4 linked regions of the Cricetulus griseus genome follow. The protein of the gene in region 2 purifies or fractionates together with the protein of the main gene of each other region. This does not show direct contact. Links are inferred from orthologs where the notes say so. Each region holds a gene or a part of one and is shown on either strand. Other genes may lie near its edges.

Evidence for each region.
Region 1: the proteins of CUNH17orf49 (region 2) and Smarca5 purify together in Homo sapiens (affinity purification with mass spectrometry; 5 studies listed by BioGRID and IntAct, with this or other methods). This does not show direct contact. The link is inferred for Cricetulus griseus from reciprocal best matches to the Homo sapiens genes BACC1 and SMARCA5.
Region 3: the proteins of CUNH17orf49 (region 2) and Smarca1 purify together in Homo sapiens (affinity purification with mass spectrometry; 4 studies listed by BioGRID and IntAct, with this or other methods). This does not show direct contact. The link is inferred for Cricetulus griseus from reciprocal best matches to the Homo sapiens genes BACC1 and SMARCA1.
Region 4: the proteins of CUNH17orf49 (region 2) and Bptf purify together in Homo sapiens (affinity purification with mass spectrometry; 5 studies listed by BioGRID and IntAct, with this or other methods). This does not show direct contact. The link is inferred for Cricetulus griseus from reciprocal best matches to the Homo sapiens genes BACC1 and BPTF.

What each region holds. Positions count from the first base shown.
Region 1 is NC_048596.1:156,477,105-156,480,504, forward strand, and holds the end of Smarca5 (SWI/SNF-related matrix-associated actin-dependent regulator of chromatin subfamily A member 5), read right to left. Parts: intron 1,933-3,400; coding exon 1,825-1,932; intron 997-1,824; coding exon 931-996; 3' UTR 685-930; downstream 1-684. UniProt on the Homo sapiens protein: ATPase that possesses intrinsic ATP-dependent nucleosome-remodeling activity.
Region 2 is NC_048600.1:84,059,919-84,064,525, reverse strand, and holds CUNH17orf49 (chromatin complexes subunit BAP18), read left to right. Parts: upstream 1-1,709; 5' UTR 1,710-1,820; coding exon 1,821-1,841; exon of another isoform or gene 1,842-1,999; coding exon 2,000-2,094; exon of another isoform or gene 2,095-2,629; coding exon 2,630-2,731; exon of another isoform or gene 2,732-2,867; intron 2,868-3,390; coding exon 3,391-3,578; coding exon of another isoform or gene 3,579-3,604; exon of another isoform or gene 3,605-3,605; intron 3,606-3,791; coding exon 3,792-3,896; intron 3,897-3,947; exon of another isoform or gene 3,948-4,125; coding exon 4,126-4,190; 3' UTR 4,191-4,388; downstream 4,389-4,607. UniProt on the Homo sapiens protein: Component of chromatin complexes such as the MLL1/MLL and NURF complexes.
Region 3 is NC_048604.1:21,560,628-21,564,434, reverse strand, and holds part of Smarca1 (probable global transcription activator SNF2L1), read right to left. Parts: intron 1,715-3,807; coding exon 1,613-1,714; intron 1-1,612.
Region 4 is NC_048600.1:119,996,759-120,000,565, reverse strand, and holds part of Bptf (nucleosome-remodeling factor subunit BPTF), read left to right. Parts: intron 1-2,001; coding exon 2,002-2,221; intron 2,222-2,674; coding exon 2,675-3,531; intron 3,532-3,807. UniProt on the Homo sapiens protein: Regulatory subunit of the ATP-dependent NURF-1 and NURF-5 ISWI chromatin remodeling complexes, which form ordered nucleosome arrays on chromatin and facilitate access to DNA during DNA-templated processes such as DNA replication, transcription, and repair.

The sequences.
Region 1 (3,400 bases), on a different chromosome or scaffold from region 2:
CTAAGACTTAGAAGTTATTTTAAAATATAATAAAATAAAATTTTCATTTACTCTAAAAACTCAAAAATACTATAAACTGAGAGGGTACATTCTATTAGTATTGTAACAATATGACAAGAGTCACACCTCATTATGGCTGGGTCATTCAAATTTAAAAGAAAAAAAAAAATCACCTTACTTCTGACATTATCTTTCTAAGTTGTGGCTGCTACAGGCCGTTTATCAAAATATTAACCAAATACTTTAAAAGAAAAAAATCCTGCTACAAAATACAACACCTTCAAGAACCAGAAAATACTGTCTTTGGCTATACTACTAAAAAGGTCACTCATCCAACGAACAGAGCACATTCACTTCAGAGCCCTAGGAACGCAAAGTGTAACAGAATATGCATAGACATCATTATAACTTGTTTTGCCTTTCCCCATTCTATAACCAGCAAGAATGAAATTTACACAAACTTTCTAGATGAGACTCAATAGTACTACAGGAAAAAAAAGAAGAAGAAGAAATCAAAGGCAGAGAATGTGAAGTAAAATTATTACAAAAGTAAGTGGAGACTTGAAGGGACAAATGGTCTTTGTATTTTTTTTTTTTACTTGTTTGCTTGTTTTAAAGCCATACAAGAGCTAATGTCGTAGCCAATAAAAAGCCACAATCTTCACAAATGAAACTAATAGAAAAATAAATCAAATGAAACATTTATTAATAAATGAAGCCTGTTTTATTACTTCAAGTGTTAATGATAAAAAAATTTCAGCACAGCTGTTGCATTTAAAAAAGTGAAACTACATCCTATGTTTCTAGCTCAGTAAGCAGATGGAGCTGATGTCTTTGAATGACATAACAGTTGAGCACTGTACAGCACATCTTATGAAGACCCGTAAATTAAAGAACTACTAGCTTAGTGATTATAAGACCAATATACGTTCATAGTTTCAGCTTCTTCTTTCTTCCTCGACCATCAGGGGCACCATCCATTTTACGTTTCTGTGTCTATAACAAACACAACAATTAGTTCTCATGACAAGATTCAACTAATATGGACATTAAATACATTTCCATACATGTTGCAGCACATTAGTGTAACAAACATGACCCGACAGTACACGACTTTTCTTCAGGGCTCCACAACCAATCTTTCAAACCACTATCAAATCTCCAAATATTTTACCATTATTAGTAACAAGATACCTGCTTCCTCCTGAATACATTCAAATTGTGAACACATTACTAAGACAGTGAATCAAAGCTCAGAAGACAACCATTGCACTTGTAAAGCTTTTGTTTTCCTAATATTCCTCAGTCTCCTAAACTAAGGAGAAGGTGTACTCTTGGCAATCAGAAAACATGTTTTTCCATATGTAGTGCATCAAATTCAGTTTCTATTTCCAGGTGACTCAATGTATTTATTACTCACAAAGAAAAAAGACAAACCTAACACAAGAAGTGCTGACAGTGCTCAAATACTTCACAGGGTAGTAGTGGTGGGTTTTCTGGAGAGATGGCTAGTGGGTAAACTGCTTGTTATGAAAGCATGTGGACCTGAGTTCTTAGCCACAAACCCCAGTGAAACCCAGACAACCCCATCAGATGAGGGTATGGGGGCTGGGGGCTGAGGAGCATAGAACAGATAGTCTAACCAAGATGGCAAGCTCCATCTTGTCTCAAAGAATAAGGTGGCACGTGATTGTCAACCTCTGCCTCACAAACTACTACCACACACACACATATTTGCATAACACACACACACACACACACACACCTACCTACCTACCTGCATCATTCACACAATCTATGTTTTATATTTTCATGAATACTTACTGAAGGCTTTGGTCCTCTTTTCTTTTTCTCTGCCTTCTCCTTTTCTTCTAGTTCCATATTTTCTCTTTCAATCAAAGTAATTAAGGTATTGCACCTCCTCTGGAGCTCCTAAATTGTAAACATACACAGTAAATTTGTTATTTCAAACTACATTTTTTTAAAAAGATTTTATTATGTATATAACATTCTGCTTCCATGTATATCTGCACACCAGAAGAGGGCACCAGGTCTCATTACAGATGTTTGTGAGCCACCATGTGGTTGCTGGGAGCTGGGAATTGAACTCAGGACCTCTGGAAGAGCAGCCAGTGCTCTTAACCTCTGAGCCATCTCTCCAGCCCCCAAACTACATATTGTCAGGACTTCAATGTCTAAATAGAGATGTTTTAACAAATATAAAAATCACCCATACAGGACCGGGCATTGGTGGCACATGCCTTTAATCCCAGTACTAGGGAGGCAGAGGCAGGTGGATCTCTGTGAGTTCGAGGCCACCCTGGTCTCCAGGGCGAGTGCCAGGATAGGTTCCAAAGCTACAGAGAAACCCTGTCTCGAAAAACCAAAAAAAAAAAAAAAAAAACAAAACAAAAAAAAAAAAAACACCCATATATTCTAATAGACTAATAAAAACAAGCAAAACGAAATTATTTTTTACTCACAGACCATGCTATGAGGATACAAAGAGCAAATATTTAGTGTTTATACTTGATTCTTTAAAGCTGCACTAACATATGGCTGGGGATGTAGCTCAGTGTATCTGCCAATAGACAGGTAAATAGTAAAGCTCCATACTAATGTATACTCTCCACACACCATTAATCTATTGATCATTTAGGTACTAACACAGTGACAATGAACATCAACATATACAAAAACTACTCAAAGCTCAGGAACTCTGGACTACTTATATTTAAAGGTTAACATACAGAATTCAAAAACAAAAGTACCTAGAACTTAAGAGACGAAAATCAGTCTTTTCTTTAAAAGCATTAGCATCTTAGTTGATAGCAGTGATACACACACAGCTATGAAGTTCATAATGAGTTTTGTCTACCTCCTTTCTCTACCAATCTATGTACTACTCAGTGAGGTAAAATCCATTTGCATCACTGTTTGCTAGCAGCTCATTTCCTTACAGAACAAACATGGTTTGTTTGTTTGTTTAGTCTCTTATATGTAAGTAAAACTTCTACACAGACAACCACAGTACAAATAATTCTGAATGTCAGATGGTGCTGGCATGCCTTTAATCCCAGCACTCAGGAGGCAGAGGCAGGTGGATGGATCTCTTTGAGTTCCAGGCCAGCCTGGTCTACCAGGACAGCTAAGGCTAGACAAAGAAACCCTGTATTGAAAAACAAAGTAATAATAATACTTCTAAACTACTTGGTAGGAACTCCATCCATGGCTTAGTATTACTTCCAACAACAGAGGTAGAAGGCAATAACAAAGTTGTGTTTCCTTTAAACAGTAAGTACCATGCAGCACATCGACCACTCTGCTTGCTGCACACAGTTTTTGATAGGTGCACTACAGCACACACTGATGCACACTGAATCCTTTAAACTCCTGGGCA
Region 2 (4,607 bases):
GACGGAACTTAGATCGCAAAATTGGGAACTAGAGCGAAAGGGTGATGAAGCAGGACCCTGGGGATGGGAGCCAACGCCGGTAAATTTGTCGACCCCTCAAGGTAAACGAGAGCTAGGTCCCTGAGACAAGCTTGAGTGGAATGGAGGCGAGCAAGAAGGGTGCTTGCTCCCGAAAATGGTAGCTGAGGACTTGCTTCTCCAGGGTTCTACCGGCCCTCATTTTCAAAAAATGTGAAGTGTTGGGTTTCCCTCGTCTCTTCCGCCTAGTCCCATGATAATGACGCGCCTTGGAGAGCTGTTGACTGTACTTGCTTGTACCCAGCCACTCTTCCCAGTGTCCTACCTCACGACCTATTCAGATGGCTGAGTCCGAATCCAGCCACAACCACCCTGCTCCGAGCCCTAAGGAAGGGGCAGGTGTTGGGCCAACACTAGAAATGGGAGGAGCGTAGGGAGCGACCCAGGGAGAGGTAAGGTGCCAGAATTTGACAACCTACCTATTCCTTTGTTCTTCCAGATAATGCTCGGGATATTTTTCAATGTCCACTCTGCTGTGTTAATTGAGGACGTTCCCTTCACAGAGAAAGATTTTGAGTAAGTGCTTGGGTACTTAGGCGAATCTGGGTGCAAATGAGAAGTAGCAGGGTCTAGGCTCAGAATCATGTAGGGGACGCTGCTGAAGGCTGAACGTCTGTGGCCCTAGGTTGGGGGACTGCAAGAAGAGCTGCTCTCTATGAAGCAGTTCGGGTAGGAAAGAAGAAAAGATAAGAATGAAATAAATGAAACTAGAATGGAAAAAAAAAAAGAAAGCAGTTGGGTGGCAAACGCGTGCTTAAAACGCAAGGTCCTAGGTTCAATCTCCAGCGCTAAAAACGCGCTTAGGAACAGTCTTGCAAGCCAGACTTTCGTGGCCACCCCAAGCCCACCAGCTTAGACGAGGCCTCTTCCAATATTTTGCCTTCCCGCGCCTTAGTCTACCTCCACAAAAAAAAAAAAAAAAAAAAAAAAGATCGCATGATAGAAGTCCTGCCGTACGGTTGTCAGGAAGCCGAATAGAAATCAAAGCGTTTAGTGTGGTGTCTGGTGCAAGGTACGTTGGATGCTCTGAGCGACTGACATTTCCCTGCCTTCTCGCCACCCTCCAGGAACGGCCCTCAGAGCATATACAACCTGTACGAGCAAGTCAGCTACAACTGTTTCATCGCCGCCGGCCTCTACCTCCTTCTCGGAGGCTTCTCCTTCTGCCAAGTTCGGCTCAATAAGCGAAAGGAATACATGGTGCGCTGAGCGCAGCCCGGTGCTCTCCCTCCCCGCCCCGCCCCTCTATTTAAAGACTCCTCAGCCCCAGTCTGTCCCACCCATCTGGCGTCCTCTGGGACCGAGTCACCCTGGCGAGACCGCATCCCTGGCCCTGCAAATTCTGCTGTCCAGCCCCTGGAGGGGACCGGGGCTGACCCCGCCCCGCCCCGCCCTGCCCTACAATAAAAAGAAGCGGTTCCCCTAAGCTTGGTGTCTGTGTTTTCAGGGAGAGGGCGGGCCTGGGCTAGCAAGACTGAGCGTAGCCTCAAGGAGCAGTCCCGACCCTCCGACGGAAGTGGAATGAAGCCAGCCGGAAGTGAGGCGACGTCTTCCATCTCGTCTTCCTCCGCATGGCGAGGCGACCTGAGTGACGGGGGAGAGGTTGCGTTTCGGCCAATCGGCCGCAAGGAGGGCGGGACTTCCTGCGCGGGAGTCCGAGCGGCCGGCCGCCCGGCTCTCCGTGGTTTCCAGCTCGCGTGGTGGTAGCGGCGGAGCGTCTCCGTGAGGAGGTGCGCGGGGCCATGACGTCAGCGTCCACCAAGGTTCGACCTCCCTCGCGGACTGCGCTCCCTGGCGGCCACGGGAGGGTGGGCCCCCTGCCTGGTTCCCGGCTGGTGCGCGCTGGGCGGGGGGCGGGCGGATCCGAGGCTGGGGTGGGACGGCGCGCTGCCGGCCTCCCGTAATGCTGCTCCGCCCCCAGGTTGGAGAGATCTTCTCTGCGGCCGGCGCCGCCTTCACGAAGCTCGGGGAGCTGACTATGCAGCTGCATCCAGTATCGGACTCTTCCCCTGCCGGGTACGTGAGACCAGCCTAGGACCTGGAAGCCGGGAGCAGGCGCTTGGATTCAGTCACCGACACGACCCTCTCTAGAGCAGGGAGATACATTAATTCCTCTGTGCCTGGCCCAGCGTAGTGTAGTTGTTAATCATGGTTGAACTAGTGAATGACAGGTGAAGAGGCTACCAGGTCCACAATCCCCCGCTGCAAACCGACATACTGTCTCCCACCCACCCCAACTCAGACTGCTGCTACACATCCTTGAAGGGTTCTGTTTGAAAGGCCCCTACTTGTTGCATTGGTTTCCGTGGGTTGTTTATAGCAGCTGTTACATGATGAAGAGAGATGTTTTCAAGTGGCTCTGGATGCAATTTCATGTGGCTAGCGGTTTGTCCCCAGGGCCTTTCTTAAGGAGATCCTCTCTCCGAATCTTTGAAAGGTGCCCTAGAGACTAGAGGGAAGAGGCTGCTTGACTGTGGACGGAATAGCCTGTGGGCTGGCCCCACACACTCCTCCTTCCATTTTTGCTATCACCCTTCTCCCCTTCCGACAGTGCCAAGTGGACGGAGACGGAGATAGAGATGCTGAGGGCTGCTGTGAAGCGATTTGGGGACGATCTTAATCACATCAGCTGTGTCATCAAGGAACGGACAGTGTGAGGGAGGGTGGCTGGCAGAGAAAGGGGAGGGGTGGGCAACTTTCTTCTCCTTACCCATTGTTCTTCCTCAGAATCCCCTCAGCTCAGCATCATTCCTACTTTGTTGCTAGTTGTGTTAGCATTTCCTTGAAGGCTGAAAGAATATAATAACTGTGGCAGTTGGTCGGAAGTTCAGGAAATGCGATGGTAATTAGGACCTTCAGAGAATTTTATTTTCAGGTGCCCAGTTACTCAATGGGTGTGCTTGATGATGAGGGTTCCATAGCTATCTATATAAATCCTTTGAGACTAGCATTTCTGGGGATGCATTCTGAACTAGTTAGCTGCCAGCATCTGTGAAAAAGTCTCAGTTTGCCTTTATATCACCAATACATACCTGGTGGCCTTACACATCCAGACATCTCTCCTAAGGTTCATGAAAAGGACCTTTCTGGTTGCTCTGTTCAGGGGCTCCAGTCTCCATAACCCATCAGCCCTAAGTGGGTACAAAGCTGCTAAGGGTAGGGGAATCCTTATTTCACATGGATTAGGGCCTTGATCTGGATATTTGTGAAGGAACTAGGAGTCCTTCAGAGTGGCCCATTATTCCCCCCCCTTCCCTCTTCCCTCAGCTTCTCTGGTGACAATCTCCCTAATCTGCTTTCTCTTATCTTCAGGGCTCAGATAAAGACCACTGTAAAGCGAAAAGTATATGAAGACTCTGGCGTCCCTCTTCCAACTGAGTCACCTAAGAAAGGGCCCAAGAAGATGACATCTGGGGTCCTCTCCCCTCCAACTGCCCCTCCACCCAGCAGCTCCAGTGTCCCTGAAGCTGGGGGTCCTCCCCTAAAGAAACAGAAGGCTGGTGAGGGCTGTGGAGTTGCTGCCTAGGGTAGGGGTTAAAGGTCCTATCTGAGATTGAATGAGAGAATTGGGCCTGGGTCAAAGGACAGATGATTTGTGTGCTCAGGTGTCATTCCAAAACGGGCAGAGGGCTGTGTAGAGCATGAAGCTTTGGGAAACTGGGACGAGGGAGAGTAGTCAGGAAACCTAGAACCTAGCCTATGCCCCCTCCCAGATGTGACACTCAGTGCTCTGAACGACTCCGACGCCAACAGTGACCTGGTGGATGTTGAAGGGCTAGGAGAAACTCCTCCAGCCAAGAAACTCAACTTTGACCAGGGTAGGAGTCCTCCTCCTCCCACACTGGCTGGGGTGGGGAAGAAATACTCACCTGGATGGTAGGGGAGGGTCCCAGCAGAAGCCCCTTTGTCGTGCAAGGGCTTCAGACAGAAGATACTCAGTGCAGGGGGTTGGGTCAGCTAGTAATACGATGTTTGAGGAGGTGAGGGTTTTCTTGGAAACATATTCCTTGCTTGGTCCATCTCGGTCCATTTTACTTCCTGTTCCAGACAGCCTGACCCTGGACTCTGGCCTTCTCTCGACCTCTGCTGATGCTCCTCTACTCTCCTGCTGAGCCTTCCACCTCTGACCCTCACTGTTCACCGTGGACCTGTGGATCACCTGGGACTCTAAGCAAGGACTGCATGAGAGAGGGTCAGAAAGCCACTGGAGCTGTCCATCTTGTTCCCGATAAACATGTGCCCGCACCCTCTGACCTCCGTCTGATGGACATTTTTATACAGAAAATTATAATAAAGAAATTCTCTTAGCATGGTGCTGCCAGCTGCTGTTCCCTCTCCTTTCCTTAGCCCTCGGGGGCCAGCCCCTCTCAGTAGCTCTCACCACCCTGCCTGGAGCAACACAGCCAATATTGGCAGACTCGCTTCCCAGTGCCAATATTTCTGTGCTGCTAGAGCCAGGAGAGCTGGGTGTGGGCAACAAAGACTCTACTTTGCTCTGTGGGGCAGAACTTATTCCCGGGGTTTCTGAC
Region 3 (3,807 bases), on a different chromosome or scaffold from region 2:
CATATTCAGGATGTAGTAAAAAATCTATTTCAATAAAAGAAAAATAGGAAAAAAATTAAAAATAAAAAAATAAACATGTTCACTACAAAACTTTAAAAGATCAAAAGACTTGCACTTCATCTTAGACAAAGGAAAAAATGAACTTGGTTTTTTTTTTTATTTAGAGTCACGTTCTGACCATTTGGCAGAGAATAATTGATTAATGGTGAAAAATTAATAACAACACCAGAAACGTGCGGGAACGTTCATTAGCTTAGATACAAGACTTTGAAAAAATACATTCAGATGACGAGCTGGAAGGAGGCCAAAACTTTTCCACTTCATGTTATCCTCTCTGGAATGTTGTTTTTAGAACTGTTAAAACATTAACTGTCTCCTTAGATGTGGTCTTAAACACAGACTCTTCTTGTAAAATAGCTATCAGCAACTAGAACATGTATTGCCTTCCTACTTTTTTTTAAACTGGAAAAACATTCCTTCGGGGGGAAAAAAATCAGTTCCAACTACCTGTCCAGTTCTGGGTGACTGAAAATTAAACAAAGAATAATGAAATATGTGGTGCTCGACAAAGATTACATGACTTAAATAAGTAACACATTCATGCATTAGGTAAATAAGCCTTAATATGCTTAAAAGGTATATTATCATACTACATATTTCCTTAATGTATAGCATTCCTTTATATACAAAGTCAGGAGAAACGCTGATCTGGCATCATGACTGCATTCCCCACAGGTACAAAGCCACACGACTACTGCCACTGATACCTTCATCACTGAGTCCACAGAATGTTTTTGCCTTGCAACATCTCAGTATTGGTTAAAGACCACTGAGAAAAAGTGAGATGTGGCTTCTCATCTCAACTATTCCACAAAGTTTCCGTGGTTCTTAATTTTCTCCTTTGAAAATGAGATTAATTTATTCAATAAAAAGGAATTGTTGCCTCAGTGGTTAAATTGCTTGTCACAACAATATAATATCCCGAGTTCAGATCTCTAGCCCCCACATAGAAAGTTAGGTACAACAACACACACCCATGTTGCCAGCATTGACAAGAAGGAGGGGGTGAATCGCTAGAGCTCACTGGCCATTCAGCCTCACCAAATTTGTGAGCTCTTGGCTCTTGATTATGCCAGTGGAAAAATAAGTGGAGAGTGAATAGGGAAAAAACTGAAATTTAAGAAGACCAGGATCAAAAAATAAGGTGGGCAGTAATTGAGGAAGATACCTGACATCTACTTCTGGCCTACACACATGCACGCACGCACGCACGCACGCACGCACGCATGCGAGCACACACACACAGATACATACACACACATATATTAATACATACATACACACACTTGTGACACTTTAATATATTAAATTACATTTGTACTATGAAATCTGATTATGTGTCATAGATAAATCTTTTTCATCTTCTATATCTCTATAAAAATTAACTATAAGGCATGGAAAGTGGAACCAATAATCATATAAATTGGGACAATAAAGCTGAAGAGTCACAAGTTCAAGAATTTCTGCCTGGAATTATATAACTAGACCAGGCTACAAACAAACAAACGAACGAACAAACAAACAAAGAGAATCACAATGGTCACTACCTTACCAAGGGTATATTTACCATTTTCTCTTCATATTCTGGGTCCATTTCCTTTTCAGATTTGGAAGGTTTAGCAGCAAGTTTTAGTTGCAATGGAGAAGTGCTTTTCTAGAATGTCAAAGGAAATAAATATCAGTCAATTGCAAAGCAAGGTCTTTAAGCTGGTCAATGTTCTCCCTTAAAGAAAGCCAAAAGTAATTAAATAACTTGATAAATAAATCACTGAGGGCCATGAATGGAACAATGATGAGAGTGAGATATGAAGCAGGGCTTATGATTAATCCAGTTCTGTGCACCTGAGGTCCAATTTAAAAAAAAAAAACCTGAAATATCAGAGAGATGGCATTCATTAGAATAAAACCCAAAATAAAACACTAAGCCTTTTTGTCTATTTTTTTTAATTAAAGCCGAAGAAATGTGTAACCATAAAATAGCAGGCTTAGAAATCCTGAACAGGCTAATGCTCAGCCACAAACCAAAGAATTCAAGAAATGTAAATAATAACCCTCCCAAACACTTCTTTATGTACTGGAAACCAGCCAGACTTTCAGAATAAAAGACTCTGGCTTCTGTTCCTGAAGCAACACTTTTGAAATTTGTTTTCCTAGACTAATTAAAGCTTGTACATTTTTATACAGTGCGACATGATCTCATACACTTAAAATAATCCAATGATACAGCTTCAAACTGGTCACTTTATTTCCTCTAGAAAGAAAACTATTTTATTCATGTTACAAAACCTTTTACACAAGTGATTCATTGGAGCTATTCACTATTAACTGTTGGTATTTTTAAAACTGTAATTTAGTGAACACTAGCATCAATTAGCAATAATCTGTCAATACAGGGTCAATATCTTATGTGAAAACATAGAATAAATACCCTTCTCTGGAATAAATCAAGAGATAAAATAACAAAAGAATCTATTCATTAAGATCGATACCAAAAATATTTGAATTTGAACACACACTTTGCAGAAATTAAAGCACAAATCTTTTTTGTGAAAACAAAAGAAATGAGGTCAGTTTTATTACAGCTTTTGTCAACCTGTCTTTGAAATCTCCTATAATAATTCAGCACCAGAATGTGACATTAAACAAGAAAACAAAATGCCTCCAATAATTAATGACTGTCTTCCAACATTTGCCTAAAGGTTTATTTTTAGAAAATTCAAAGAAAGATTTTCGAACATGACCTTGGTTAGAGTCTATTTGGAGCCCTGGTCACATAACAACTATGTTGATCTACAGCATCTCATGTGTATCGATCAACTATATGAGATGTTTTTGATGTAATTCTGGATGGGTTGGAATGGAAACTGAAGGTCATACTTTCAATATGTCACATATGTATGCCAGGAGTCAAGGTGTATGCCTTTAATCCCAAGACTCAGGAAGCAGAGACAAGGGGATCTCTGTGAATTCGAGGCCAGCCTGCTCTACAGAGGAAGTTCCAGGACAGCCAGAGCTATGTAGAGAGACCCTGTTTCAAGAAAACAAAAACAACCAAAAAAATCACGTATACTGTAAGTCTCATTTTCAGAGCAACAAAATCTTAGATATTAAAATACATAAAATATATGAATAAATAAATCTTTTTAAAAATTCAAACTTTTACCTTAAAAGGCTAATGAGATGAAGTTTCCAAGTTTTAAAACAACTACTTCATCAAATATATATGATGAAATATATATGATGAAGTTATATATGTGTGTGTGTGTGTGTGTGTGTGTGTGTGTGTGTGTTGTGTGTGTGTAGGAAATAAACTTTACTTTCAGAAGATAACATCTCAGAAGAACATTTTATTCATTATGTGCTTAAAAGTCTAATCACGCGTTAATTGAATCCCTCATCTTGAGCAATACTATTAAGAGATATGGGTAATCACTTCATTGGCATTACTATCCACAACATTTTTTTTTAATTTTTCAAGAACCAGATGGCAAGAAAAAAAATGCAGCATGTGAGCTGTCACAATCAGTTCACTAACTGCTCTACCCAATTCTAACTCATTTGATAGTCCAGCTTTGCACACCCAAGGGAATGGAAGCAATACCAAATGACATAGTAAAGACTACTAAAACAAGATGTATCCAGGACACCAGGAAGAAATGGCAGAACTCCATAACTGAAATCTTTCATCCATGGGGTTGAGCATCACTGCTATTTTTGTATTTGACAGATGATTTAAATTATCATATG
Region 4 (3,807 bases), about 36 Mb from region 2:
CTGGCATGTGCAAGGTCATATGTTCAGTTCTCAGCGTGACGCACATGTACACAGGAAGGAAGAAGGAAGAAGCTGTTAGGAAACTGATGAAGAAGGAAGAACTTCCCACTAGACCTTGAGGGCAATGTGTGTTATAACCGTCTACCTAACAGACTGGTTAAATTGAATTTTCATTAAGAGCAAGAATTAAATGGGGATCAGAGTAAAGGCTCATGCACATCCAGCAAGAGTGTAACCACCTTAGTTAAGCCTTTCCTAGCAACCTTGCTGCAGTGTGTGGTGAGGGCGTGCATGCTTGAGGGGTTGGAAAGTGTTCTGTTCCTACTAGTGCCAGTGTGCACTGGTACAAATGCCTACAACAGTACAGGTCATAAGAATTGGTATTTTGGAGCAACCAGATGTCTGTGTGGTGAGGTAACGGTCGGGTTTGGTGATTCCTACAGAATGGAAATGTGGTAACTGCAGCTCTAGAGAAGGGGCTCACAAATAAAGTGTTGGGGTCGGGTATAGCACGAGATCTAGTAGGTCTTAATAATAAAAGCCCAGAGTCACATATGGGCAGAAATGCTGAGAGATCAGAGAGCCGAAGGAGAAAAACCATAGCCACCTTACCTATTCAGCTTCTCAGCTGAAAAGAGACTGAGTTCCTGGCTGCTCCCACCTTATCACTTCCTGTCTCCAACCAGCCTATCACTTCTTGAATGTCTGTATAGAACTCTAGACCTCTATGGTTAACTAGTGGCTAGCTCTGCCCTCTGATCTTCAAGTAAGCTTTATTTGTTAGAATATAAACAAGACATCACTACATTTCCCCATTTTTGTCTAAAATAAAAGGTTGTATCTACTAAAAGAAAAACTATACAGTAAGTACAGTAACTATATACAATAAGTAACAGGCAATGAATACATGAACAATGGCTAGTCTATTAATAATTGACAAATTCAGAGAAATTACTCCATGTCTATCCTTTTTGGTGAGTCCAAAAGGTTGTACCTCATTCACTTTCTATTCTAACTTGCATTACCTATCTCTCAACTATATACACTTTACCTTTCTTTAGTGAATTTCTTTCCTGAATCTGGTAATAGGGAAAATTAGAACTATAAATTCTTCAACTCCATCAGAGACCTGGGAAGGAAATAATATTACCTGAGTAAGCAGGAAGTGCAAGCAAGCAACTTCCAAAAAATGACAGAAATGACAGACACATCTGGCTTCCTGGACAGTCACCCAAGGTTCCTCTACAATGTTGGGGCATCCATCCTTGGCCTACTGGCCTAGCATCTCTGACACACTTATCTGTGAAGCAGGATATTCTGAAGGGCTGTCCTACCTTGTCTTGGTAAAGTCCAGCAGTCCTTTCTTTTATGTCCTGCTTGTCCCATCTGGACAGTGTGCTGTCAGCAGTCAAGGCAAGAGCACTTTCTTTCCCCGTGCTCTTAAGTGCTGAGCCAACATGAATAAAGGTGGGTTAAAGTAAGAATCGGGTGTGATGATGAGTGAAGTCACAGTGAGTTCTGAGTTCTCATGGGGTACTGGAAGGACCCAGACTCTCAAAGTTTAATTCATTAGTTAATTGGTTGATTGAAATAAGAATTTTGATCTGACCATGATAGCTCTAATCTATGCTACCAGAATGTAAGAAGTGATGTTTTCTTCCTTGGTTTCTGGCAGAGTGGGGTATTTTTAAGACAGTCTCACTCATTGCAGGAATCCATAACTGCTCAGGACCTCATTTTACTGATTAATTAAATGGGATCTGGATCAGGTGTGATGTTTGTAACCGGGTGGCTGGCTGCCCATTGGAGAGTTTGGACTGGAACTTTGAGGTGTTGGTATCTTTCCACTGTGCCACACAAGTCCCCTGTCTGTAATTCACCTGAGTTTTCCTGATACCATTGCAGGGAAGGATCTTCATAACGTAAATGGTTCCGTTAGAACCCTTTACAGATTTGTAACCTAAATGCCGTATATTTTATGTTGTCTGCTTTTTTCCACAGGGCGGCAACCAAGGTTTAACAGTAGTAATTCAAGGACAAGGTCAAACTACTGGACAGTTGCAGTTGATACCTCAGGGGATGACCGTCCTTCCAGGGCCAGGGCAACAGCTCATGCAAGCTGCGATGCCCAATGGTACTGTCCAGCGGTTCCTCTTTACCCCACTGTCAACGACGGCCACAACCAGCAGCAGCAGCCCCGCCACTGCTTCTACAGCAGCAGGTAGAAACACTGTCTTGCCACTCGTTGCTGGCCTCTCGAGTAGCAGGGCCCAATGTTCCACCTCCAGCCTGCTTAACAGCTGAACTGCTGACACAGCCAGCCTCTGTGTTTCCATGCCTTGTTCCTAGACTCCCTGTACCCCCCTTTCCTGATTAAAACAAAACAAAATCCTGGTGAAGCCCTGGAGGTGAGCTTAAGGAGGGTGAGTCCACACAGCTCATAACCAGCCTCCTGTAAGCCATCAGTGCCTGTTGCCATGCCATAGCCGAAGCGTGAAGCTTGAGTGCCTCAGAACACCTAGGTGACATACAGGAAGCATGCAGGAAGCATCCCAGCTCCCCAGCCTAGGAGATGGCTACTCTGAGTCCTCCTCGAACCCGAGGCTTCAGGAAATACCCTCATAGTCTTGCATACTAAAGCCAGGGAAATCACTTTGTCTTTTTTTCTTTACAGGTTCGGGGGAACAAAAACAGAGTAAATCGTCACCTCAGACCCAGGTCCAACCAGCCACTACCCTGGCGCCAGCTCAGTCATCAAGTGTGAGTCCTGCAGAAGCCCAGCCACAGACTCCTCAGCCTGCAGCACAGCCCCAGCCCCAGTCCCCAGCTCAGCCTGAAGTCTCGTCCCAAACCCCTTCTGAAGCACAGCCCTCCCAGACACAGTCATCTAAACCCCAGCAACAGTGTCAGCCTCAGAGCAATGTCCAAGGACAGTCTCCTGTTCGTGCCCAGAGCCCATCATTGACTCGAATACGTCCATCAACTCCATCCCAAGTGACTCCTGGACAGCAACCCCAGGTTCAGACTACAAGCTCACAGCCGATTCCAATCCCGCCCCCCACATCTCTGCAGACACCTTCCCAAGGCCAGCCACAGTCACAGCCCCAGGTACAGTCTTCAACTCAAACTCTTTCTCCAGGACAAACATTAAGTCAAGTTACTGTCTCATCCCCATGCTGTCCTCAGCTACAAACACAGCAGCTGCAGCCCCAAGTCATTGCTGTGCCTGAGCTCCAGCAAGTCCAGGTTCTCTCTCAGATCCAGTCACAGGTTGTGGCTCAGATACAGGCTCAGCAAGGTGGTGTGCCCCAGCAAATCAAACTTCAGTTACCCATTCAAGTTCAGCAAAGCAGTGCTGTGCAGACTCAGCATGTTCAGAGTGTGGTCACAGTGCAGGCAGCCAGTTTGCAAGAGCAGTTGCAGAGGGTTCAGCATCTCAGGGAGCAGCAGCAAAAGAAGAAGCAGCAGATAGAGATTGAGCGTGAACACACCCTCCAAGCTTCTGCCCAGAGGGAAGTCATTCAGAAACAGGTAACGACATTAAGTCAAAGCAGCATGTTGGGTAGTGTGAATTACTGTGCTGTGTGGTACACTTAGTGCTTTGGTTGTGGTAGGCTTCCTGACTGAGACATGGTCACTGGTGGATAGCCTCAGAAGACCAGAACACTGCTTGCCCATTTTGGTTTGGGACTCCTTAATGGGCATGTAGCCTTTCCCTGGTAGGAAACCAAGTGGTGAGGCCACCATCAAAATGGAGTGATTCAGTTGAAGTCATCTGATTTGCAAGTGTCATTCCTTCATTTGCCT